4 linked regions of the Tamandua tetradactyla genome follow. The protein of the gene in region 1 interacts with the protein of each later gene in a biochemical or structural test. Links are inferred from orthologs where the notes say so. Each region holds a gene or a part of one and is shown on either strand. Other genes may lie near its edges. The genes, in order: H1-5, CCNB1, CCNE1 and PRKCD.

What was found.
Region 2: of the proteins of H1-5 (region 1) and CCNB1, one has a biochemical effect on the other in vitro, tested with the Homo sapiens proteins (2 studies listed by BioGRID). The link is inferred for Tamandua tetradactyla from reciprocal best matches to the Homo sapiens genes H1-5 and CCNB1.
Region 3: of the proteins of H1-5 (region 1) and CCNE1, one has a biochemical effect on the other in vitro, tested with the Homo sapiens proteins (4 studies listed by BioGRID). The link is inferred for Tamandua tetradactyla from reciprocal best matches to the Homo sapiens genes H1-5 and CCNE1.
Region 4: of the proteins of H1-5 (region 1) and PRKCD, one has a biochemical effect on the other in vitro, tested with the Homo sapiens proteins (2 studies listed by BioGRID). The link is inferred for Tamandua tetradactyla from reciprocal best matches to the Homo sapiens genes H1-5 and PRKCD.

What each region holds. Positions count from the first base shown.
Region 1 is NC_135351.1:30,971,316-30,976,629, reverse strand, and holds H1-5 (histone H1.5), read left to right. Parts: upstream 1-3,982; 5' UTR 3,983-4,045; coding exon 4,046-4,726; 3' UTR 4,727-4,786; downstream 4,787-5,314. Other genes in the region: histone H3.1, read left to right, coding at 674-1,084. UniProt on the Homo sapiens protein: Histone H1 protein binds to linker DNA between nucleosomes forming the macromolecular structure known as the chromatin fiber. Histones H1 are necessary for the condensation of nucleosome chains into higher-order structured fibers.
Region 2 is NC_135335.1:117,328,382-117,335,552, forward strand, and holds the start of CCNB1 (G2/mitotic-specific cyclin-B1), read left to right. Parts: upstream 1-4,149; 5' UTR 4,150-4,347; coding exon 4,348-4,368; intron 4,369-4,970; coding exon 4,971-5,141; intron 5,142-5,238; coding exon 5,239-5,391; intron 5,392-7,171. UniProt on the Homo sapiens protein: Essential for the control of the cell cycle at the G2/M (mitosis) transition.
Region 3 is NC_135342.1:37,230,681-37,237,827, reverse strand, and holds the start of CCNE1 (G1/S-specific cyclin-E1), read left to right. Parts: upstream 1-4,132; 5' UTR 4,133-4,336; intron 4,337-4,397; exon of another isoform or gene 4,398-4,498; intron 4,499-4,822; 5' UTR 4,823-4,851; coding exon 4,852-4,874; intron 4,875-4,981; coding exon 4,982-5,069; intron 5,070-5,251; coding exon 5,252-5,320; intron 5,321-7,147. UniProt on the Homo sapiens protein: Essential for the control of the cell cycle at the G1/S (start) transition.
Region 4 is NC_135341.1:32,530,747-32,538,044, reverse strand, and holds the start of PRKCD (protein kinase C delta type), read left to right. Parts: upstream 1-4,292; 5' UTR 4,293-4,505; intron 4,506-7,298.

The sequences.
Region 1 (5,314 bases):
GATTTCAGGGGTAAATTCTACCGGCGGGCAAGTTGGGTCGACGACAGCCAAATCCACTGTCACGTTTTATTCACATAGCCGGGGGGCATTTATGTTGTGTTTTTAAGTTCTATCACTCTATAAAGTCAAACGTAAATACGTGGCAACAGCTTCAAAGCCAATGAAGTCCCCTTTTACAGGAAAGTTGGCTGGCCGTGGCTTTAACAGTGCCTTGGGGTGGTTCTTAAGTACGCTTAAAATTTAATACTATAGGTATAGCGCTTAGCGACTCGGATTTCAAAGTACTTGAACCCCCTAATTAAACTGATCTCGTTTCCTTAACACGTTACTCAATAATGTTTTGTGGCAGGAAATCATTCAGGTCACTTTCTATTTAAAAAAAGCGCTAGGCGCTTTTAGATTCTCAAACCAACAACACACGTAATTCTGACGCGTTAAAAAAAAAAAAACCTACAGGCTTTGTTAAGAGGTAGGTAACTTTCTTTGTAGACTTTACCAGACTGAAATGGAAGTGGGAAATATTTCCCATTCATTAAGGGATTGAACAGAGAACCAATCAGGTGGGTGAGCTAGGTCAGTAGAAATCTGTCGAATCAGAACGCGACAGTCGCTATAAATACTGGGACTAACATCCTTCAGTCTCACTTCTGTGCGACTGTTACTCTTCTCCGTTATGGCTCGTACTAAGCAGACAGCTCGCAAGTCCACGGGCGGCAAGGCGCCGCGCAAGCAGCTGGCTACCAAGGCAGCCCGCAAGAGCGCCCCCGCCACGGGCGGCGTGAAGAAGCCGCACCGCTACCGGCCCGGCACCGTGGCGCTGCGCGAGATCCGCCGCTACCAAAAGTCCACCGAGCTGTTGATCCGCAAGCTGCCGTTCCAGCGGCTGGTGCGCGAGATCGCGCAGGACTTCAAGACCGACCTGCGCTTCCAGAGTTCGGCCGTGATGGCGCTGCAGGAGGCGTGCGAGGCCTACCTGGTGGGGCTGTTCGAGGACACCAACCTGTGCGCCATCCACGCCAAGCGCGTCACCATCATGCCCAAGGACATCCAGCTCGCCCGCCGTATCCGTGGCGAGAGGGCTTAAGTATACGCAGTGTTTCACTATAGTGCCGTCCAAAAGGCTCTTTTAAGAGCCCCTCAATTGTCAAGAAAGGAGTTGTTTATACCTTGTCACTACAAGCTGGACTCAACACCCAGTGCCACGTGGATTAAACTAAGAGGCTGAGTACCGATCAAACGTTGACATGGCTATTTCCGGCAGGGCAATTGGCACCAAGTCTGTAAATGGATAAATGCGTTCTGCATTCATGAGGTGGTATTAGGTTTTTTTTTTAACGCCTTAGCAAACTGAAAGGCTCCCATCCCTTCCTTAGTTTTATCTTGCCTATCCTTTACCGTTAACTCCCTCTCCTACGTTCCATTGTCCAGGTGTAGTTAAATTTAAATACTCGCTCCAGTCTTTCACAATACTCTTGTGATTGCTGTGACTCTCAAGTAGCAGCAGACAAGCAAAGATTGCATTTGAAAGCAGTTACTGGTCTCAGTAATCTCAACACTTAACCTAACACATTAGGACCTGCTTATTAGCCTGACTCAATATTTTTAGTTGTCTTGAAAGTTTCTATGTTCTTAACATATGATTATTAATTACCTAATTGTGTGCTACTTTCCTTTTAGGGTACACCCTTTTAACTCCAGGAGGTGGCAGTTAATGTCAGTGCAATTTTTTCTTGAGTGTTCTCTGGTAGGTTAATCTTCTAGGCCTTTGTTTTAACCCTAGTTCATACATCAGCCTAACAAAGGAGGCTTGTATTCCACCCACTGGCTCACTCAAGGTTTTTTTGGAATATGGAAATTGATTCTGCAAAAAGAAATAGATAGGACCAGCCAGCAGCATCTTCCTATAGATTCTTTAGAACTTAGAGCTCCTTTAGGGGCTGTCAGTTAGTTGTATGGTCAGCTTGATGCTGCTTCTTCCAAAGTTCATATATGGTCCCCCTCCCTAACCGCCCCCCCCCTATATTTTTCTACCATAATAGATCTGGAGCCTAGTAATCTAGACTCCAGCCCCATTGCTGCCAGCTGCTAGCTAAATATCTCTGGAAAAGTCACTCATTCTCTCTGTGTGTCTCATCTTATAAAGCCGTAAAATGTGCAAATGAATTAAAACCTGTAGAACATAGTTCATAGCACTTAGCAAATACTCATTAAATGTTAGCTGTTATTGTTGTTCCCAAACCCACCCCTGGGAGCATGGAGTTTTGAGATTTTTTTTTTCCTACCCCCGGATCCTTTGAAAATATTGTGATTGAACAGTGAAAAATACTTGATAAGAAAATTTCTTGCTTCGATTCCCTTTTCCTTAATTCTTGATTTGCATGGTCCTGAAAAAGGCCTGCAGCAATATACTATGATCTGTCTCTGTGTGGAGTTTGAAACAGCACAAAGACCAGTTAGCAAATATTTTAGGTTTTACAAGTCACACATGGTCTGTGTCGCTTATTCTTTCGGTTTGTGTGTGTGTTTAATGAGACTTTTAAAATGTAAAAACCATTCTTAGCTTGAGGGCCACATGAAAATGGGTCACTGCCTGGATTTGGCCCCAAAACCATAGTTTGCTATCTGCTCCTGGAGTTCCTGGAAAGAAGAAAAGGGGGATTGACCATTCAGCCATTCTTCCACAGTCGTACAGTTTTTCACTGGCAAGAACTAAGTGACTGTCAATTGCATTAGAGATCTAAATTATCATCTGATCTTCCTCATCAACCGAAATCAAAATCCTGTCCATTTTTCTCCCAAATATATATCAGACTCTTGCACCATCCATTGCAACCTCATAATCATTGCATCCATTCCTTTGGGGGGGGGGCGGGGAGATGCTTTCATGAATTATCCTGAACTTCTATAACTTCTAGTCCCTCAATATCCAAACCACCCTTCTCTCAGTAGTCAGATACTTTTCCATAATACAAGTCTATCCCTGATTAAATAGACAGAAATATCCCACTGGAGTCTCCTGGCTGCTTGGACAAGAGCTTTAAGACTCATTAAGTTTTGAGCTAAGGAGTCAGTGTCTGAGCACTGGGAAAAAAATGTCTTGTGAGCCTGACAGGGTCCAAGGTCATCTAAACAGTTGGTGCTTTATTCTGAGACTACTGCGAGCCCTTGAATAGTTTTCAGCAGGTTTGAGGGTTTTTGCTTAAAGCAAATCATCTGGCTATGCATTTTTTGTCATGGTAATGGCTTTGGTCAACTAAAGAGAAAGCATCTCAGCCAGTTCACATACCAAATTCAAAAGCAATTTGAATCCAGGTTTTTGGACTCTGAAGCCAGAGCTATGTGCACTCATCCTACTGCAATATGGAAGATGTCATTCTGGCAACTGACCTTTTTCAAGCTCCTAAGTTTCATTCTCGAAGGACACCAGCACATGGACACTCCTAGGAGGCAGAACCAAGTTTTAAAGAAGGGTCTAATGCAGTTAATTTGGGACTATAGGCAACCAGCTGCCCTGGCCTGTGTTACTTGGTACACTTGGAAACAAAGTTTCTCCCCAAACTAAGGAACACTGTGTCTTTCCTCCCGCAAAAATCAAAGGCCAAACCTATGGAAAAATTATCTTAGATAACTTTTGCTGGATACTTGGTAGAAATTTCTTGCAACATGCCACTAACTAGCAACTTGTGTTCAGCCACGTGGGTTCATATGAAAACCTGAAAGGATTTTCAGAAATATCTTTTATCAGTTGCGCACGGTTCATGAAAACAAAAACAAGTGTGTGAATCTTGAGGCTGTTTTCTTCCTTTGGAACTTAAAAGCGTCAAATTCTGTACTGCTGTTTTCAGCATTTAATAAAATTTTGGAGACTAACAAACACAACTTGGGAGTCCAACCCCGAGCGGCGAGAGCCCGAGGGCGGCGGATTGGACGCTCCACCAATCACACGGCAGCGTCGGCTTATATAAGCCCTGGGCAGGCCTGGGCCAGCATTGCTGAACTTGTTCGTTCTCGGTATAGAATCTCTTCTTTAGTTCATCCTCTCGCCATGTCGGAAACAGCTCCTGCTGAGACCGCCGCCCCGGCGCCGGTGGAGAAGTCTCCTGCTAAGAAAAAGGCGACTAAGAAGGCGGCAGGCGGCGGCGCTGCTAAACGCAAAGCGACCGGCCCCCCGGTGTCTGAGCTGATCACTAAGGCGGTAGCCGCTTCCAAAGAGCGCAATGGTCTCTCCTTGGCCGCGCTCAAGAAGGCGCTGGCGGCCGGCGGCTACGATGTGGAGAAGAACAACAGCCGCATCAAGTTGGGACTCAAGAGCCTGGTGAGTAAGGGCACGCTGGTGCAGACCAAGGGCACCGGCGCCTCCGGTTCCTTCAAACTCAACAAAAAGGCGGCCTCTGGAGAAGCCAAACCTAAGGCCAAGAAGGCCGGTGCGGCTAAGGCTAAGAAGCCCGCCGGAACCACGCCTAAGAAGCCCAAAAAGGCTGCGGGCGCGAAGAAGGCGGTGAAGAAGACACCGAAGAAGGCCAAGAAGCCGGCGGCGTCAGGCGTCAAGAAAGTAGCCAAGAGTCCTAAGAAGGCCAAAGCTGCCGCCAAGCCGAAGAAGGCGGCCAAGAGCCCAGCCAAGCCTAAGGCCGTGAAGCCGAAAGCGGCTAAACCTAAGGCCCCTAAGCCCAAGGCTGCCAAACCCAAAGCTGCAAAGGCTAAGAAGGCGGCTCCCAAGAAGAAGTAGGAACCTGGTGTGATAGAAAGTGAATAAAGCCCCAAAGGCTCTTTTCAGAGCCACCCAAAGGTCTCATGAAAAAGCTGTGCACTATAATACCAATCCTCAAACCTCCTGTCTACCTCCTTGATGAATAAACCTTCATCAGTGAGTACCAGCTCCTAGGGGGGCTTGTGTGAACAATAGTAACCCTGCAGCTCTGTCCACATGACATTTCTTTTAAGATTGTGGGACAGTACCCCTTCCGGCTACTTCCAAATATTTATTTGGTTCTCTTAATATTTGTTACATCCTATGTCAGAGGTGCAAATTTGGTCATTTAGTAAAACAGCCTGCCTGTTTATAATAAATTGGTTTAGGCAGAGCAAAGCGCCCCGTACGGTAAGGAGTTAGCAGTTTACTACACTGTTTCCCTGCAAAAAATTCTCTTAATGTAAATTGTCTGCAACCTACTTTCGACCTGATGCTCTTTACGGGGCAGCTACGAAAAGAGAAACTAATTTTAAAAACCCGCGCCATACTTTTTGATTGGTCGAGTGTTATTCTGGCAGTTGACGACTCACTTGTATGATTTTGATATGCCGAATGCGTCTATAT
Region 2 (7,171 bases), on another chromosome or scaffold:
ACTTGGGTATTATAGACCCCAGCTGGGTTTTCCTGGACCCAACTGGCCTCCTATCAGGGGGAAGAAATCACCTGTGTCAGTTTTCCCTGGGGGTGAGACCCAGCAGGTTGAAAGACTTTCCTGTGAAGTCTCTGGACTCTGTTTTTCTTATCTTGCCCAGTGTGTGGGGCTTGTCTGCCTTCAGGTCCCACCAGCATAAGATGATGTGGTACCTTTAACTTTGGCAGACTCTCCCTGCTGGGGATGTGGTGGAGACAGAGGACAGGTTGTAGGCTGGTTTTAATTTAATACCAAGCTCTGGTGTCTGAATTCCTTGAGGGAAGGATTCCACCTGAATTGGGCTTCACCCCTCCCCTGGGGAAGGCACAGGCTCGAGACAAGCCCTGAAACAAGCTTGTTTCTGCCTATGCCTGAGGCAGTTGCAGCCTGAGAAGTACCCTGCTACTGAATCCAGAGGCAGTCTAGCCTTTGTAGAAACACAGCCACAAAAACCTCTGCTTCTTTTCTTTTTTTCTTTTTCCATTAGCCCAATGAGCAACCTCCGCTTTGACCAGATTCACCTGAGCTGGGGGCCTATTTTTAGTAGTCAGAATTTGTTAACTAATTCCACAATTGGCGTTTGCTTGGGCTCAGCCCCTGCTGCTGGTAAACTCCTTTCCTTTCCCCTCTGGGAAGCGGCCTGTGGGGGAGGGGCGCCGGCCGCTGTAGCTTTGGGAATTCACGGTTCTGGGGGGTGCTCGCAGCTGGTCCAGCTGGTCCAGACTGGGGTATGCCGTGTGTCCGGTCACTGACGTGACCCAGGAGCTGTTCTGAACTGTTTGTGATTATTCAGTAGTTGTTCTGGAGGACGAACTAAAACGTGCACATTGCTAAGCTGCCATCTTGGCCCCTCCTGAAGTGATTCTCTTGACCAGCTCCATTGCAGCAAGCGAGTTAAAGTGTTTTTGATGAACTGTTAATGTAAATACAGTCTAGCCTATATGGTTTCATATACTATTATTGCAATTGTAAGGAACAGTTTCGAATGCAGCCTTCTAAACCAGGAATCTTCAAGCCAAGGGAAAAACCTGTTTATAAAAGTATGGAGATCAGGGTTTCTTGACTACTGACTGAAGATTTGCATTTCAATAGGCACATGGATGAGAGAAGATTAGGTTATCTGAGAGACTATCAATATTATTAAAACCAAAAAATGGATTATAAAGGTTTTGTGGAGGGCAGATTCCTTCTCTCAAGGCCTACATTGATAGCAATGTCACTCAGCATAAATACAAAAGATGCAAAAGGCACTGCCTGTAATTTTGGTAAATTTTGTAGCTGTGCTTCAAATGTCTGAGAATCATTTAAAGCAAAATCTATGAAGTCACTATTTTAAAAGCCTGTAGGTAATCCAACCAGCACAAGGACCTTTTCTTTTGATTACTTAGTTTAGAGGAAAACTGTCATTAGTTGTTTCCCGTAATGTGATACCATCAGCTTGATTTTACATTATCTAAATACCTTACCAGTATAACTGTCATATTTATAAGATAATGGAAATCAGTGTTATACTTTAAACATTATTTGACTGTTATTAACTTGTTTTTTTTTTCAAAAATAGTTGCTAGACTAATTCTGCAAGTGAAATCATTGCCCTCCCCCCTCCATCGGACATGACATCCAAGAGTGAAAGTCTCCCTGCCGGCATGGGAGATGAGTTCCAGGGATGAATCCATACCTGGCACTGTGGGATCAACAATGCCATCCTGACCAAAAGGGGGAAAAGAAATGTAACAAATAAGGTATCAGTGGCTGAGAGAGTTCAAGTAGAGTCAAGAGGCTACTCTGGAAGTTGCTCTTACACAAGCTTCAGGTAGACCTTGCTACCTATCATAACCTGCCAAACCCCAACCAGGACCATTCCAGCCAATCCTAAAGAACACCTAGGGCAATATATAAGATTCCATAAGGGTTCCATGCACTAGAGCAACTTTCCAGAAACCTACAACCTCCAGGTGGGTCCCTGGTCCAGATAAGTCCTGAAATCTAGCCATTCTCTCCAGAACATCAGATAGTTCCATCTCCCTACCCCATATTACTGACAGACCTTTCAATATAAAAAATTTAGAATTGCCATAGCCCAAACAACCCTAAAGATAGGGATGGAAAGATCAAGGATAATAGTGGAGTTATACAGAGAAGATAGGATTTAACAAATGAATATGAATGCTGAATCATTAACTTGATATCTCTTCTATCAATTAGAGCAGCTAGAAGTAAAAACCTAAAATTGTGGAATTGTAACTCGTGTCAAACTCTGAAATATGTTCTACAACTAGCTGTGCTTTGAAATTTATAGCTTTTTTGTATATATGTTATTGTTCACAAAAAAAGGAAAAAAGTCAATTGTGATAAAAAAAATATTTAAGCCCTCTAGCCTCCTATATTCTGGAGCAGCTAGAAGAAAAAATATGAGAGAATCATATGGTAGCCCATGATAAACTCCGGGATCTGTCTTATAACTACTCGTTGAAGAGTACTTTGAAAACTATTGCTTTTTCATTTCTTTGCTTTGTATATATGTTATACTATACAATAAAAAAAGTTAAAAAAATAGTTACTAGATATAATGAGCCTAAAGGTGTAATTTCTTTAGGCAAAATAGGAATTGAATCCATACCAAGAATAAACAGATAAGCAAATAAGTAAATAAATGAAGAAGGAAGATCTCTTGCTTATTGTAATAGAAGGCCAAGAGCTGAAGGGATTGCTGGAATTGGAAAGTCATTGTTTTGCAACCATCCTGATAAAGACAGTTTCAGATAAAATCATCAATGGACTCTGTGAGGTGCGATAAAGTGAAGCACAATAAAGTAAGTATGCCTGTATATATATGCAAAAAAAAATCATCAATGGATGTGAAATCTAGAGGGAGTTTTGAGGAAGAGCAGAATATTTGCATGGTCTTAGAGAGTGTCTCCCCCAAGACACTTTACTAGTTGCAAAGAAGAAAAAACAAAGCAGTAATTTTACAGTGGAGAAACCAGGTAACGTTTTTAACACGTGAACAAAATATCACCTATGAGGGACTGACGAACATTGTATTTCTATAGACTTGATACTCTGAGGATACATCACTTATGCAGTATTACAGCCAACAATGCATATTACCAATTAAAATCACAAGGAACCAGCAGACAAACAAAAAAGTGAGAAAGTTCTATTAAAAAAAGCGAAAGGACACTTTTTTGTATGCTTCAAAAATGTCAATGTGATAAGACAGAAAAGCTGTGGAAACTGTTCAGATTATAGGAGGCTAAAAAGACATGAAAATTAAGCATTTGATCATAGACTGGATCCTGTACAGGCAAAATGCTATGAAGGACATTACTAGGTCAATCAACAAAACTAGGATAAAAATTGGATTAAAGAAAGTATTGTAATAATGTCAATTTCTTAAGAAATGCACCCTGCAAAGATGGTTGAATCTGAGTAAAGACTATACAGGTGTTCGCTGCAATATTTTCATATTTGCGACTTATTCTAAGTTTGATATAATTTCCACATAAAAAACTAAAAGAAGAGATTGGCTTTGAGAAACAATTTGATTGAACTAATCGGGCAGGTTCCGAAGCTGCCACAATCCTTGAGACAATGTTATGGAAACATCATGGATCCGAAAGCCTAACCCAATCCCAGCGCCCAGCATTTGTGATCCTTGGAAAGCCACCTAAGCCTCTCCGAGCTTCAGCTGCTCCACCCCGGAGAGCTCTTGGAATGATCAAAGGAAAGAATGAATAACAAAGCCTTTCATGAATTATGATATTGACGCTACACGCCAGTGTGGAAGAGGAAAGGGGTATCAATAAGGAGGACGGAAGCCATAACTGCTCGTCACACCTCTAAAACCGCGTCCGCCGCACTGCCGCTTTCCGCGGGCCACCTCCACGGCGCGCGCACCTACGCCTCTCCAGGTGCAGAGGCTGCCCAGAGCGCGCCCAGAGCGCGCAGCGCGGAGCCCGGCCGCGCGAGGCCCCGCCCACTCCCCTCACCCCCGCCCCCGCGCCGGGGCCGCGCCCTCGCCCTGGCCCCGCCCTGGCCCCGCCCCCTGTCCAAGGGCTTCGCGGGATCGCCCTGGAAACGCATTCTGGGAGGAACTGGCAGCCGCCAATGGGAAGGGAGCGAGTGCCACGAACCAGCCAATAAGGAGGGAGCAGTGCGGGGTTTAAATCCGAGGCGGGGCCCCGCTGCTCCCGGCGTGCTGCGGAGGAACGGCTGTTGCTCTGTGGTGGCACTTGGTCCCCAGGTGGTCCGGGGCTCCCGGGTTCTGCTTCTCCCTCTGAACTGCTCCCTGGTGAAGAAGAAGCCATGGCACTCCGAGTCACCAGGGTGAGTTGCTGCGAGCCGTGAGCAAGCGTGGCCTTCCCCCCGTGCGCCCTCTCGTCCTCCGTCGCCTGCCGGAACTCCCCGACTGGGCAAGGGCCGGGCAGCGATTTGGGGAGGAGGACGGAAGGTCTCGGAGAGAGTGCCCAGGGCGCCTGGTGTGCTGGGGGAGGTGGGGAGCAGTCAGGACGGAGAGAAGGCGAAGAAAGACCTGGAAGGGCCTTGAGAAGTACTGGGGTGGGGGGGGGGGGCTGTAGCGTTGACGGGAAGCCTTTTTTAAAAGGTGGTGGAGGGCCGCCGAGTAAGCTCCCAAGCTCCCTTCCTGGAGAAAAGGTGCCTGCAATCGGAGCTTTTGTTTAGGTTTTCTTTCAAATGTAGATTCACGCTAATTTGAGAGTTGGCCCCAACTCCCCGAAAATCCCTCAGTCGGTGAGTGAAGTTCCGGGAGGGAAGTAACGTGTCACGGCCTTAGAGAAGACCCCGAGACCCAGTTTTCCCCTCCCCGCAATTTCACTCGGATTTCCGCCTCTCTTGTGCCGCACCTTAATTAACCCTCGACTCACCCCGGCCGGGCTTGAGCAGCTCTGAACTGATCTTGCTTCTTGCAGAACACGAAAATTAATACTGAGAATAAGACGAAGATCAGTATGGCGGGCGCAAAGCGAGTACCTTTGGCCTCTGCTGCAGCTTCCAAGACAGGGCTGAGGCCAAGAACAGCTCTTGGAGACATTGGTAACAAAGTCAGTGAACAGCCACAGGCCAAAATGGCCTTGAAAAAGGTAACTTAGCTTCCTGGCCTAATTTCTCCGTATAAACCCACCTCGCAACTGTGGCTCTTGATGGTGGAATATTCCATTCCTTTCCTTTCATCTACAGGAAGCAAAAGCTTCAGCTATTGGGAAAGTTATGGCTAAAAAACTACCCAGACCTCTGGAAAAAGCAGCTTTGCCTGTGCCGGAGCCAGAGCCAGAACACGAACCAGAACCGGAACCCATTAAAGAAGAAAAATTTTTGCCTGAGCCTATTTTGGTAAACGCATTGTTACCTACTTTAGTGTCCTTTCCCCTCATTTGACTAATGCATGGGATAACATTTGAATACTAATAGAACATTTTAGTTCATACCCTGAGACAGGCTCTATTAAGTACTTTTCATGCATTAACTTGCCTAATCTTCGCATATACTCTCTCAGGTAGCTGTTATTACTTCTACTTTTTAGATAATGACTTAGAAAGGTTATAAGTATCTTTTCCAGAGTCATAAAGCTAATAAGTAGCACGTTCAGGACTCAAACCTAAGCTGTCTGGCTTTAGAACTAGTGCTTCTAAGTGCTCTCCAATACTGCCCACCTTTGTTAATGGTATTAAGTAGTAGCTGCCTGGAGCAAAGATTTTGCTGACCAAGTTCAAACCATTCATGTCTCAAATTTCTTGACTGAAATACAGAATAGTCTCTTAAATCTTTTTTTGGTCACCTAGTTTCCTTAGGTATCCTGTGTTAGTGTAACATTAATTAGATCACTTCATGATAATACCAGAATTAAATAGGTTTGTATCTTCTGTTCAGGTGTGCCTCTGAAAAGTTGTTTAGGGTTGACTTTTCCAGCAATTCTATGTAAATCCTATAATAAGAGAACTTGCTAAGAAAAAGAATTTTAACTCAGATTTTTTACCCAAGAAAAATGACAGGCTTGGTAATTCCCTTGAGAAGAATGTACTGCTCCAGTTTTAGGAGCCTTAAAGGTGGGAATTTTCTTTTTTAATGTGTTCATTGGATAATTAGCCTGTAACATTGGAATGTATGAAGGTATGAGGTAGAAAGATAATGTAGCTAGCTCTTCAGAAGGAGGCAAGAAGATGAATTAACAAGCTAGGCTTAAAAACCAGGACTTTTTATTAAATATCAGATACATAAATATATCTACTCCTCTGAAAGGAGGACAAGCCATCCAGAAAATGGGGCATTCTACAGATATTGTAATGAAATGTATTCCAAGGCTCTAATTTTTAAAACTTAGGTTGGGAAAATAATCTATTATCATCTAGTTATTCAGCCTAGATGTTGATATCTAAGGGTAAGAGATTTGAAGCCTCTCTGCTTTAGTATTGATCTTCGGAACATAGCATATCAAACATGTAGCTGACAGTCATTAATATGGACATACCAAACTACCTAAGGTTTCCTTGAAAGCACTGTACTGATTCCTGCCTTTACTTTCTTACTAAGAATGCTTTCTCCCACCTTCTCTCATCTACTTGGTAACCTTTTCATCCCTCAAAACAAAACTCAAGCATTAACCTGTAGAGCTATCTCTAATTTCACCTACTGCTACCCATGTTTCTAGAATCAATCTCTCATTGATTTATTCTTCTAAATTCTAAGCTTAAGGATTTCAAGAATTCAGTGCCTTAGAAGACAACTTGCAAAACATGCTCAAATATTTGAATAATGTCGGGAAGAGAGCATAAAGGAAATGATTAATCACCGTGAGAAGAAGCCCATATTTTGAAGGGGAAAAAAGTATACATCTAAAGACTGGCTTCTCATTAGTTCAGGTCTAAGACTGCCTTGTCAGTCACTTAGATTCTTCACAGATGGCACTAATAAACAGATACTACTTTTCTTTAAAGGAAGGTCTAGAATATGAAAGTATTTGCTCCTGCTACATTTTACCTTTTAGCACTGAGGTTCTGCTGACTTCAAATTGGCTCAGTTTAAGCTGGCATTTCACTTTTGATATTAATTACTTATTAAAGAGAAATTGAATAAATCTGAAAAGACAATAGTTTTTCCTTAAGGAAGTGAGTTG
Region 3 (7,147 bases), on another chromosome or scaffold:
CAAATTAGTACCCCTTCTTTACATCCCTGAACTTAGCACAGAATCCATAAATGTAAGCCACCATGGTTATTCTATCATATAGTAACTTTAAGTAAAGGCTAATTTTAACTTCCATTGGGGCTTAACTGCTCACACACCCCTCCATCTAAAGAAGCATTCCCTGGACTTGCTCTTCAATATAAGCAGTGGTTCAGCCAAGGGTGGGACCACCAACTGGTTTGGCAATGGGTGGCCAACTTCCACCTCCAGGTCCACCCACAGCAGTGTGAACTCTCTCCCAGCCATAATAACTAAGCAACAGGAAGCATGGATTCCGCCTCTTAACTCCCGTTGGCCTGGCAGGCCTGTGCAGACAGATTTTCAGCATTGAGGGAAGACAGGAGCCAAGCCTCCCAGGCTTTCCCACACTCCAGTTCCCTGGCGCTGGGCTGCAGCCGCTCTGGCCGCCTCTCTGGTTGACAGTCTGGTCCTGCCCATCCCGCCTGGCCCCTGCCCCACAGCTCCCATTGTACAGCCAGTTTGGCCCTGCTTTTCTAGTATTCCCATGTGCAGTCTCACTGGACCCTCCTCCTTTGGCACACCCAGGCAGTCACAGTCATTCAGCTCTGCTCAACAGCAAAACTTCAGCCAGTTCCACTCCCAGCTTCAGCCCACACCTCCCGTGATCCACCCTCACCAGGAGCAGCACTCCTGACTGTTCTGTTAGGATGCCTTTGAGGAACTAGTGAGGGTAGACCAGGAGCCCAGGAGAATGCACACAGCACTGCACATAGCTACTGTCAGCAGGCCATTTCCTGAGCTCCTGAAGGTTGGGGGGCCAGGTTATAGAGCCCTATCTAGAAAGGAGTTTCTTCTTGTAGCCCCCTGGGGCTGACTTCTCCTGAACACTTGCATCCTGGGTCCTGTCCTTACCTCTCCACCATCATCAGGGTCTGGGCTACTTATGAAACTAAGCGAACATCCTCAAATTTCTGCATGAATAACACTCAACACATACCAAGCACTTACTTTATGCCAGAGACGCTTCCAAATGCATTACAGATATTAATATATTTACTACTCACAGCAAATGACCAGACTCATTTTACAGACTCATTTTACAGAGAAAACTGAGGCACAGAGAGGTTAAGGAACTTTGCCAAGGTCTCATGGAGGAGGGGAGCTAGCAACAGCTAGCTCACACCCTCTGATGCAATCTACAGTCTTCCCCAAGACCGAGCCACTGCTTGGAAACTCTGGACCTGAGGCAGGCACAGAATGAAATGAACACAAATAACCAAAGGTGAGCTGCCCCAAACAAGCCGCCCTCAGTAACCTCTGAAGACTCCACACCTTTGTGCAGGTTGTTTCCATTGCCTTGGATGCTTGTCTTTCCTGTCACTACAATACTCCTCTATCCTCCTGGCTCAGTTGCTGCTTTCTCGTGTAGCCTTCTTGGCATCAGAAGATCCTCCCCATGAGAAGTCATAGCCCTTAGGATGTTCCTAATCCTCCCCTTATCACTCTGTACTGTGACTCCCAGACTGAAAGCTCCAAGTGGGTAGGGATTGTGCCCTGTTTTGAATTACTCCTTTGAAAAATTATTTCCTCCCTTACATTCAGTACAGTGCACACATAGGAAGTATATAGCTCAATGAATTGTTATGTAGGTATACACCCTGTAACCACCACACAGATCAAGATACAAAACATGTCTATACACAGGTTTCCTCAGCCCCCTCCCAGCAATACCTCACCCCCATTCCAGAGGTAACGAGTGTCGTGACCACTGCCAACACAGACTATTTTGTTTTCTTAAATTTCAAATAATTGAAAACACACGGTACACAGCAGTGCTCTTTTTTTTTTTTTTTTTTTGCATAGGCAGGCACCGGGAATTGAACCTGAGTCTCTGGCATGGCAGATGAGAATTCTACCACACAGTAGTGCCCTTTTGTGCCTGCTTTTTGTGCTCAACATTATGTGTGTAATATTTATGCACATCATTGTATGTTCCAGTGATTTCTTCCTTTTATTGCTGTATAGTATTCTATCGAATGAATATACCAAAATTTATGTATCTACTTTACTGTTGGTGAATGTTACCTGGGTTATAGTGTACCGTTCTGAACTCTTAATTCTTTGCTGGTTGAAATGCAAATTGCTACACTCACCAAGGAAAACTCTGTCGTGCTAACACTGTTATGAAAACTCTCATTTATTGAGCATTTACTATGTACCAGGTACTCTACTCCATTTTCTCAGTTGGTCTTTACAATGACCCTAGAAAACAGTCACCCTCTGTGAAATAGGCCAAACAACGTCCAACATTATAGGATTATTGTGAAGTTTATAACTGAGATCATGTTTTGAAGGACTTAGCCCAAAGCTGCCATTTGGAAAGTGCTGTTTATGCTACCTGTAACTGTTATTACTAAAAGGCACAGGGCTGGAAGTTCAGGAGTCTAAGTTCCATGCATACCTACGCCATCCTAGTAAGTTAACTCCGCAGCCTCAGTCTCTGAGTCCCATGCGAGGGTATGAATCCCATGGCCAGGACCTCTGAGGACACAAGGCAGTCATGGGGGAGGGGGACAAGACTGAGGACATGGATTAGGAAGGGTCTAGGGGGTGTTCAGGATCCCTTAATGACACACTCCTTCTAGAAGTTGAATACAAAAGATACTTTCCAGTGGAAATAATCAGTATCTGTCTCTACCAATAGGCAGTAAGCTCCAGAAGATCTTGGCCAATATAATTTTCCAACCACTCATTCATTCACAAATACAATTTAAGTATCCCTCCCCCTTCCTGCAGGCACTATACCAAGCGCAAGGGATAAAAAGACAGACAAGGTAGAGAGAGTGACACTAAACAAGGAAACAAAGAAGAAGCGAGAGACATATTACAACTGCTGGGCAGGAACCTTAGCAAGGCCATGAGGAGATGAACTCCCGGGGAGAGGGACACTAAGCTGTCACTGACCACCTGGAAGGGTTCCCAGAAGGATAAGCAGCCCAAGTGGGCCAGACTAGGGAACACCAAGCCCCAAGGCCCCGAGGTGAGAGAGAACAGACGGTGGCCAGAAAGTTATGAGGGGGAGAGAAGGAGGCGAGCGGCGGCTCATATAGGGCAGGGAAAGAGTGTGGGTTTGGTCCTAAAGTTGATGGGAAACAACAGGAAAGTTTTAAGCAATGGAGGCAACCCTGGGCCTCCGGGCATCAGTAAGGCCTTCTCACGCTCCCACAAGGGTTTGTGGGGGAGGGGCGCCCAAGCAAAACGCACATGGAAGACGCTCGATTTTACTTGAACAAACACACGGATAGATGGACGGATGAGCGCGCCACCTGCGGCCAGAACCAACAGTTGGTCCACAGGGGGCTCTCAGGCCTGGGGGCCGGAAGCTCCAGTTCAGGCCCAGCGACCAGGCGCTGTGACCTTGGGCCCGTCCCCGCCCCGGACCCAGGGCCCGGAACCCTGCGTCTCCGGGGCGGGGAGGACGTGCCAGCAGGGACCATGCGCGCAGCGGGATGCGGCGGCGAGTCCTCCGGGTCGAGCCCTCTGAGGCATCCGTCCCCCCTGACCCCTGGTCCGACCCTACCCCGGCCCAGGGCGCGAACGCTTTCGACCCGCAGTGTTTACATACCCCCCGCGCCGGCCACGCGGCTTTTTGCCGCAAAAGCGCCGTTAGGCCCCGCCCCCGTTACTAGGGGCCGCCCCTCGGCCGCGCTCGCGCCTGCAGTCTCCCGCCGCCGGTCCCGCGAGGGCTCCACCGCCAGGCCCCGCCCCTTCCCCGCGCGCGCCGACCGGCTCTCCCGCGTCCGGCTCCGCGCGGGCTCCGCAGCTCGGACCTGGTCCCGCCTCCGGCTGCAAGAGCCTACCCCTGGCCTCAGCCCCGCCTCGTACGTCCGCGTCCCGACCCTCCGGTGCGCAGGCCCTGTCACTTGGCCCCGCCCCCCCAGGCCCCGCCTCGGCAGTGGCCCCGCCCCCACGGTCCCCTGCGCGCCTCAGCGGGCCTGCGCCGCGGCGGGGGCGGTCCTGAGGGCGGCAGCTGGGCGGGCCCGTCGAGTCGGCGGCTGCTGAGGGGCGCGGAGCCGGGGCGGGGCGGGGCGGGGCAGGGGTGGCGGGAGGGCGCGAGGGCGGGCCGGGGCCGGTTCCGCGCGCTAGGTTTTTTAAATGTCCCGCTCGAAGCCGGGCGCAGGAGCAGCCGCCTCGGCCGCCAGCGCGGAGTAGGGGGAGGCGCGGATCCCGCCACCGCCGCGCGCTCGGCTCGCTGCTACCCGCCGTCGGCTTCTAGCTCGCCGCCCACCCCCTACCTCGGCTCGTGCCGGCCTACCTGCCGAGGAGACGGCTTCGGGTAAGGGTCCCGGCGCGGCCGCTGGGACCGGGGCGGCGGGCTAGAACTCCTGGGACACCCGGTCGGGTCGGGCCGGGTCGGGTCGGGTCGGGCCGAGGGGTGAGGGGGTGAAGTTGTGGCCGGTTCTTCGGTTTCCCTGAGGCGTCAGTGCGGGGTCCCCCGGTAAGGGAGCTCGGAGACACGGTGAGGGGTTAGATGTTGAGGGGAGACTGAGGCAGCCCGGGCCCCGAGGAAGACGATGGGCCGGCAGGAGTTTTCGAGGGGGCGTCAGGGCCCCCTAACCTGGGTTCAGACCCAGGATCGCCGGCCACTAGCGGCGCCACGGGTGACAGGCCACCCCGGGCCCATCGGCCATTTTCCCGACCGGCCCGGGAGGCTCCCGCCGCCGCCTGCGCGGGAGGGGGAGGGGTGCCCTCGGCAGGCAAGCGGGTCCTGGTTCCCCCCCGGCGGCCGCCCTCATCCCACTGCCCGATTGGTGTCCCCCAGGCCTGAGGTCGGAGCCTGCGTCTTGCGTCATGCCGAGAGAGAGAAAGGAGAGGTGAGTGGTTTGGCCGCTGCGGGGGAGGGGAGGGGTGTCTCGGTGGGGGAGGGGTGATGAGATTTGGGGAGAGCTTACTCCGCCCACGGTGCTGCCCGGCTTTGCAGGGATGCGAAGGATCGGGGCACCATGAAAGAGGAAGGCAGCGCCGATTCTTCTGTTCGCCCCAGGAAAAGGAAGGCAAATGTGGCCGTTGTAAGTACAAAGGAGACAGGTGGGGAGGTCCCCCCATCTCACCTGGGTACCAGACTGGGCCCTTCCCACATATTTATATTAAGGAGGTTAGTTGGGGGTGTGTTTGGCAGAAATGGTGCTTATAACCTTAGCAACTTTCTTTTTTTCTCTGTGTGTTTTGTCTTTGGATTGTTTTATGTTAGTTTTTACAGGATCCAGATGAAGAAATTGCCAAAATTGGCAGGACTGTGAGAAGCCACTGTGGTAGTCAGGTATGTATGCTTGCTGTTAAGGCTTCCAAGGAGGGCCTCCCACTTTTTGGGGGTGTAAATTGGGTCTTATATTCCCTTGCTACCTGCTGAAGCCCTTTCCCCCAACTACAGCCATAGTCCATATGGCTGAACTCTGTGCCTATCTGTGGACACTGACCTCTGCCAACCTCAGGATTCCAGGAAAGTCTTGCACTCCCGATTGGCACCCTCTGAGTACAAATATGCACAGATGTCTGGAAGAACCAAAATGGGCATCAAATAATCTTCTACTTTTACCCAGGAGTAAACTGAGGCCCAGGCAGAGGTAGAAAGTAACCCAGAGTCTAATGCAAGCCAGGGGCAGATTTGGGCCTACAAATTTATCTTCAAAGACCTGTGAACTGGAGGGAGCTTTCTAGACACAGAGCTCTTGAGATAACTATGATGATGGGGGCTTGTGTAAGGAAAGCAATGATTTCTCCCCCCTCACACTTACTTTTTTGTCATAGTATGCTTGTCGTATTTTGTCAGGAGTGCGGTAACAAAATACCTCAGACTGCTGGGCTTTAATAACAGGAATTTAATGTCTCACAGGTTTGGCAGTTAAAAGCCCCAAATCCAGTTGTTTGCAGGATCATGTTTTTTCTGAAGTCTGTAGTGTTCTGGCGGTGGTTTGCCAGCAATCCATAACTCAATCTCTGCCTCTCCCACATGGCCCCATCTCCTCCTATATCCAAATCTCCTCGGCTTATAAATACTCTAGTCATATTGGATTAAGGCCCACCCTGATTCAGTTTGGCTTCCCTTACATGATAAAATCTTCAAAGATCCCATTTACAAATGGGTTCCCAACCACAGGACCAGGGATTAGGACTTGAATATATCTTTGTGGGGAACATGATTCAATCTATAACTGTGCTTTAGGACCCTTTTTCTGCTAACCCTTCTTTCCCACACCCAACCTGCCCAGATCTGATCTCAAATCTTTTCCCCCTTTCTGACCCTGGTAGATCTAGCCTGTCCAGCAAATACAGTGATCACTGCTGTTTGGGGTTTAGGTTAACTTGGCCTTAGTGAGAGTATTAATGAAACATTCTGTGTGTTTCAATACATGCTTTGTCAACTAGTCCCTTTCTCTTGCCCCTCCGCTAAATTTACTTCGTGGAGTGTACTGTTACTATAATACCACAAGTTTTTTGCAGAAAAAGCTCGTATTATCTTTCTACCTCCAGAAATGGGTGAGGGCTGTAGTTATGGCTCAAGTAGAGGTGCATCCTATCTTCAAACTAGCTGGTCAGGCCTTCTGAGCCTGTCGCAGATAAAAGCTATGCAGAAATAATCTTCACCCCAAGGCCAGTGGTCCCAGCTAGTTTAGGAACAGACAGTACATTGCTTCATGGGGCAGTACGCAGTGGCCCTAACAGCATGGTCTAGAAGAAGGAAGGTCTTCAAAGCCTGTTTCCCATACAATTTTTAGAGTAGTTGGCCACTGCATGAAAGACCCTAGTATTGAAGATTTCCTGGGAGGAGCCACTGAATATTGAACAAGGGATTGATGTCTTTCTCTGGTAGGAGAAATATTTCACATGAAGAAAGGGAATGGACACAGCACTCCAAGTTTTCTTTCCCTTAAAAAAATTTAGTCAAGTTGATTTTGTGGACATTATAAAATGAATCTCTACTTTGTGAAATCCAAGATTGTTTATTTTCCAGCAATAAATTAAGGAATTTCCAATTGAAGATAAAGCAGATCCATCCATATTGACTTCTTGAAGTTTTAGAATCATTTCTCTTTTTACAGATAACCTGGGCAGTTTCTAGGGTACCTCAGATGGGGCCATGGCTCTT
Region 4 (7,298 bases), on another chromosome or scaffold:
AGAGGGGCCGTCCTCCAGCCCGGGGCACCCGCAAGCTCCCAGCTTCCCACCAGCCAAGATGGGCTGGGTGAGCTGTCTTCTGCAGAGGGAGACTGAGGCACTGGCAGGTGAGGGGGCTGGTGAGGCCCAGAGCATCTGGGACACTCAAGGTGTCAGCACCTAAGACGTGGCAGGCCAGAGCAGGGTGGATCCTGGGACACAGAGGTGGGGAAGGTGGGGGCAGTGGAGGAGAGTTGGCGGCTCCTTGGGACTCTATGCGGAGAGGATGGCTGTTGCCTGGGATTGCTCGGAAATAAGAACCCCCATCCTCCCTCCCTCCACGTTCTTTGGGGAACAGGTAAGCCCAGGAGCTGCCAGTGAGGGCTGTGCTTTGGTCAGTGTTGGGTGGGGACAGTCAGGGGCTGTGTACCCCTGTACGGCTTTAAAAAATCCCTGAGCCCTGTGCTCTCAGAAAGCATCTTCCCCTTGTCTACCCCAAGTATTTCGCAAGTTTCACCCAAGCACAAATGTAATTGAGGAAGGAACTTGGAGACCATTAGCTTGGCCTTCCCAACTCTTTGTAGTTAGTAGCTTTGCTGCTAGAGCCCCTGGAGCCTGGTCTCTTCAATCCTCTCAGCAAGCCTGTGAGGTGGATATTACTCTTATCATCTCCATTCCACAGATGAGGACCCTGAGGCGCACTTAAATTACAGGTCCAGGACACAGCCAGGATGTGAACCTGGCCACTGCCTGCCCAACCTGCCCTTACCCTCCCCCACACCCAGTGCCCCAGGCTGAAGCCTCTGCTGATGGTGGCCTGAGGCATGGCTGCAGGTTGGACCATGTCTCAAGGGCCCTCCTTACCCACCTACCCCCAGTGGAACCCTCCCAGGTTCTGCCATCCCCCGCAGTTGTGCAGGTGCACGGTCCCTGCTGGCCTGGACTTCCTGCCCCAGAAACAGGAGCCTACTGTCTCTTGGCTGGGCCAGCGTTCTGGGTGTGATGGGGATGGTGCTGGCAGCCAAAGCTTCAGGGACAGGGATGGCAAAACAGGCAGAAACAAAGAGAGGGAGTGAGAAGAGAGAGCAGGAGGTACAGTGAGGGGCCAATGAGGAAGAGGCTGAGGCAAGGACCAACTGGCAGGGAGCAGTTGGGGGTCCCTGGTCCACCCACAGCTGCTGGGGGAGGGGTCAGAGGAAGGCTGCTTGACTGAATCCTGAACTTGCTGTAGAAGGCCTGAGGGCTGCCCAGTGTTCATGGCCTCTGGGCAAGACAGGGCCCGGGGCAGGCTGCCCCTCTTCTGGACATCCCCTGCAGGGCGACTGTAGAGGAACAGCCCCAGTGGATGCCGGAGGTGGGAGTCCAGGATGCTGCTCAGTTGTTACACTGGACAGTCCCATTTCCTTGGCTGTAAACATGGAGGAGGGGGAAAGGAAAGTACCACTTCTGGCTGCTGCACTGGGCCCAGCCCTGCCAGGGGATTTATGGCCCACATCACTAAGGCCACTGAGGGCTCTTCTGAGGCTGACAATCTGTGACTCAGCACAATGACCGTACCCATAGTATGTGGCCAATGTGGTCCAAGTCCTCACTGGGTGCCCACTCTACCCACTCTGATGACCTACCAATAGGTAGGTCATCAGCTCCTTTCACAGAGCAGACTTAGATTCAGAGAGATGCATTCATCTGCCCAAGTGGCACAGCCAAGTCTTGTCCCCAGGCCTCAGCAGGCCCTTCTTAGGTTAGTGCCAGGCAGGTTGTGGGGGCACAGAAACAAGCTCATCTGGATCTGTCCTGGCCCATTCTGTGCGGTACTCAGGAGGAGATCCAGGGTACAGGGAGGCTCTAGCCAAGCTTGACCTGGACTCCCTGGACCTCACTCAAGCCTGATCCTCCTCAGGCTTCTGGATACACACCTGTCCCTGGAGGGAAGCCCAGCTGCCTCCCTCCTTTACCTTGGCCAGGGCGTAGGCTGCACAGCCTCAGCTGTTCTGCCCTTTGTCTAAGTGCATTACACTTTCCTTTGGAGTCTCCAGAGGAAGAAAATTAGCTGAAGTGAATGTGTGCTCTCAGTCCCTAAGATCATGAGTCTGCATAATCCTGAGGGCCAGAAAAATGCTTCTTAGTATCTAACCCAAATCCTTCTTGCTCCTGCAACACTAGCCCAGATCTAAAACAGTGGTTCTCAACAAGGAGTGATTTTGCCCCCAGAGAACATTAATAATGTCTGGAGACATTTTCGTTTGTTACAACTCAGTGTGTGTGTGTGTGTGTGTGTGTGTGTGTGTACTATTGACATCTACCAGATAGAGGCCAGGTGTGTTGCTACATCCTACAATGCACAGGTTGAGGATGGACCCTACAACAAAGAACTATCTGGCCCAAAGACGAGTAGTGCTGAGATTAAGAACCTCGGATTCAAAAGTAAGGCATGGGCTTTGGAGATAAGCAGACCTCAATTTGAATCCTGCCCCCGCCATTTACAAATATAGAACCTTTGACAAGTGGCATCACCTCTCACTGAGCCTTAGTTTTCTCCTCACTAAAACTGGTGTTAACAACAGCCCTCACCTCACTTGGTCTCGAGGACTGAACAGATCACCCACATCCAGCACCTAGCACAGGGCCTGACACTGGCGAAGTCCCAGTCAGTGACAGCCACTGTTCTTTCCCTTTTTCCAAGTTGAACTGCATGCAGGGTATGGTAGGAAAGGTCTGGTGACTACACCTGGAGCTCTCCTTGGGTGGAGCAGAGGAATCAGGACTGGGAGCCTCATCTTTATTTTCTTTTCAAATTGGGTCCTCCCTCCTCCCAGGTGTAAAGCACCCCCTGCCCTCCCCTCCACGCACACTCCCACCCCAGGACTTCAGATGAGTGTTGTATTTCTGCCTCTAGCCCTGTTCCCCCTCCTCCCCGACTGGGGATCTCATACTCAAACTGGATTTGGGATCCACTAGCCCCAGGAATCTCACTGGAAAACCCTCCCCTCCTATTCCCACAGCTGGGCAAACCATCTGGGTCTGGCCCCTTCTCTGCCAGCATCTGCCCTGACCTCAACCCAGACTCCTCCCACCTGAACAATGTGGCAGCTCCTCTGTCCTTCCCCATACACCCCTCCCCCTCACTGTAGTCCTTCTGCTTCCCATCAATCCTCTCCTATTTCCTATCTCCTATAAGCCTCTCTTCCCTATCCATTCTGTCCCAGCCCTGTTGCCCCATCCATTCTTCTCTGCCCCTTTTACCCCCATCCCTCTGTCCATCCATCTCCTCAAAGGTCTGCTTGATCCTGTTATCACATCCCAGTAACAGCCTCCACCACCTTCCTGCTCCTTGAGAGGATCAAAGTTCTGGCCACAGCTAACTGCCTCTGCATGGGCTCCTTGCTCAACTCAGGCCCCCTCAGGAATTGTCCCCCATTCCATCCATTAGGCTTAGGAAAAGCTGTTCTGACCCTCCCCTTTCCTCCTCTCTAATTATTCCTCCAGAATGTGGGAAACCTCCCTTTTTGCCTTTTGGGAGGTGACATTTTTTGGATGAGTATTGGGCTAATAGCTTTCAGAGCTTTGGGGGCAGAGGAATGAATTCCCCTGGGCCCCACTCGGTCCCCAGGAGAACACTCAGTCAATGAATGAATGAATAAATGATGACTAACATTTCCAGGTTCCAGGTCTGGAAAGGAAGTTCGGATGCCTGCTGGGGGAGGTCCCCAAGGTGGCAGCAGGAAAGTGGTAGACTGGTGGGGGGGTGGAGGGCGGATTTGGATAGGGGCGGCACCCAGAACCGCCTGTGGAGTAGCAGCGGACCAGCCAGAAGCTCCCGCCCTGGAGTCTTTCCAGTTCCGTCTCTGGAGTCTGGGCCGGGACCGGCAGGCCTGGCTGTGGGCACCGAGCCCGGCCACGGACGCGCTCCAGCCAACAGGAAGAGAAGGAGCGAAGCTGGGCGAGGCGAGCCAGCTGGCGAGTGGAGAGTCCGGAGCATGGAAAGTCGGGGAACCCCCGCCGGCGCCTCCGACGAGGGGGACCCGGGTGTACGGGAGCAGTGGCAGGGGGGCACGGCCCGGGTCTCAGCGCCCTCCTGTAAAACGGAATCCGCTCTGAGGGCTGGTGCGCGCGCTCATGGCGGGCGAGAGCGCGAAGTGTGCGGGGAAGGGCTGAGAGGCCCAGACAGGGAGCCACGCGCACCGAGCCAGGCAGACACCAAACCCCGGCTCAGGGCTGGCGAGGGCGGACCAAGGGGCGGGGCCGGCCGTGGGCGGGGCCTGCCGGCACCTGGGTGAGGTCGCGCCGCCCCGCCCCCTGGCACTTCCGTGTGCTGCGGCGCAGGAGCGGGAGCCCGCTGGAGTCCCGAATCCCCGTCCGACCCCCGGCGTCCGCCAGCCGATCCGAGACCCGGGCCGTACCGCATAGATCTCCTCGTCCGCCCCAGTCAGGACCCGCACCGACCCTCGCCCGCGCAAGTCCCGGAGTCACGCCGGGAGCCAGACTCCGCCCACCGAGACCCCTGGCGCCTGGCCCCGAGCCCGGAGGTGAGTGAGGGCCGGGCCTGGGCTCGGGGTCGGGGCTACCCGGAGGGCGCGCCACTCCTCTCAATCCCCTCCCAGTCTCCAGTTCCCGTTTCCGAAACCGAGAAACTAAGCCGCGGCCAGAGAAAGTACCGCCGTCCGCGGAGACCCTCTGGTCCCTCGGTCCATCCGTCTGTCGGTCCCTCCGTCAAATGGCGGGGCCGAAGGCCCCTTGTCCCTAGCCCTTCTACACAGCCTCTGTGCCTCTAGCTCCTCCAAGTGTCTGTCTGTCTCTCTCGAGTCTTTCTGGGGCTCTCTGTCCATCCCCATCGCTCTATGTCCTCCTGTCCAGCACTCCCCAGCCCCTTTCTGTGTCAATCTCTCCGCCTGCCCCATCGCCCCCCTCCCCGGACCCCTTGGTCCTGTCCTGCCGGAGCCCGCCCCCTGCCCATGTCCGCTTCTCCCTCCGCTGTCCCCTGTCTATCTGTTACGTCCTCTTTTCCACTCCAGGGCCGAGGCCAGGCTGGCCACCGCGTCTGTCCTCCCGTCCTGGGTCCCTGTCCAGTCCGCGCAGGGCCTACTTCTTGCTGTATTTCTTCTTTCAGTCTCGATGTCTCTGTCTCTCCAGCTGTCTCTGAATTGAGCGTCCCTCCAGCCTCCATCCCCCTTCCGGCCCCGCCTCTCCACCCCTCAGCTCTTCTCAGCCCCCTCCTCCGGTGGCCCCTGCCTGGTTATCTGTCCCCAGCCAGGCTCCTCCATTGCCCAGGCGCCACCAGCCCACCCCAGCCTGGTGAGGGGAAGGGGAGGAAGGGGCCTGGCACACCCTTTTGTCCACTGGGGTGGGGGGTGGGGTAGGAGGTGAGCAAGGTCAGAAAAGCCCCCACTTCCCTAACTTTTGGGGGGAGGGGAGAGCCCCACCAACCCCCCTGCTTAAACCTGGTCATAATGATTTGATAGTATGGGGGAGGGTCCTTTTCTCTGGTCCCCATACTGTATGTGCCGATCCTACATCTTATAATGAGTTGCCTGTGTCTGGGCATGTGGGTATATTGTGTTTGTGCCTTCTTGTATATTCTTTGTCATGGGGTCTGGGACTTGCCCCTGTGTGTGTTTCCTTTTTAATGTATGTGAATAGTCAATGTGTATGTGTGTGTCTGGTTGCATGTGTCCTTTGCAACTATGTATGTGTCATGTCTTGGTGTGTTCTTTGTCACCAGACTCCTCTCCATGTGTTGGAGTGTGTGTGTGTGTGTGTGTGTGTGTGTGTGTGTGTGTATATCCCCGTGAGTGTCTGGAGGGTATCGCATTGCATGGGTGTGTCATGGGGTGACCCATTGGCCATGACTACATTTGAGCTGTTAATCGTGGGAGCCCCTGGTATCAGGATGCCAGCCTCACGTAAGCGTCTGTGTGTGTGTATGTATGTATACATATTTGATTCTTCCTTTCCTTTTGCCACTGAGCTGCTGGGGCTAGGCTGCCCTGGTCACTGAGGGAAGGGACTGGTCCCTTGGGTTTCCTCCTTCCTGCTGTGGACTATGGGGTGGGGCAGGCAGACAAGCTGGCAGAGAGCAGCTGTGTGACCTGTGTTTGTGTGTGTGTTTGTGAGATGTGGAGGTGTTTGTGCCTGCCCGTGAGATGGTGCAGGGGATCCAGTGTGTGACAGCCCTGGCTGAGGGTGAGGCATTGGTGGAGTGAGGTTCCAGTGTGAGTGAGTGACTGGTGGGAGACTCACAGTCTGACTGTATGAAACTGCGAGTGTGTGTGCTCAGGGCGTGACTGTGTCTGTGGGGAACTGAGAGTGCCCTAAGTGTGGGTGTTGGTGCAGGAGGGGGTGTGACAAGGTGTGTGCATGGTCTGTGTCCCAGGTAACAGTGCTGGGGGAGCGGGGTGGGGTGAGAGTCCCCAGCATATATTTGAGCGTGTGGGAGGCTGCAAGGGTGGGGGTGTGCACATGACATGCACCAAGCCCAGCCCTGCTCCTGCCTCCACTCTCCCAAGTTGACAGACACCAAAGGGAAAACCCTGGGGTTTGTAGTGTTGTGATCAAGACTTTGGAACCAGGAAAGACTTGGGCTCAAGTCTTTTGTCTTAAGAGCAAAAGCCCTGAGCTAGGCCCCTTTAAGGCTCAGCTTCCTTATCTGCAGAATGGAGAAGGCTGCTGTGAGGGCTGGAGATCCTGTGTTGAAAGTCCTTTAGCACAGCCTTCACTCATAATGAATGCTTGGCACATACTAAGTATAGTTTAGTAACCATCCCCCACCTCCCCATCTCTGCCCCCAACTTTATGGTCCTCATTCTCTTGGGAGCTAGGGATAATGAAAGCCTAGATAGTCTCCAACCCAATTTCCTGCCTTGCTGTCTGTTGGTATGTCAGTTACCTCTCCTACCCCTTTGACCAGACTGTTTGTAGGAGGAAGGAGGGGCTGACAGAGCCCCCAGCACCCCCCCCCACTCAGTCTACGTGACACCCGTCCACCACTCCTAGGCTTGGCAACAGCATTGGGGGAGGGGGTGCAGTGGGGTGGGGGATGATTTGGAGCTGTGACTGCAGGGCACTGACACTTTAGTTTAGATGGTATAGGTAATTGGAGTTTAAATCAAAACTAGAAGTTATTTAAAGTGCAGACAAAAAGATAAAACCTGAGGTTGCATCGGCCCCAAGGGAGTAGTTATGGGGGTCTGTATCTGGAGAAGGGGCGCACCTCTGGGGAAGGAAATCTTTGGTGGAGTCATAGCCTGGCCTACAGTAAAAGTGCTCAGGCCTTGCAGCCAGGAGACTCAAGCCCTCTTGCTGCCTTTGCCATTCATTCCTTC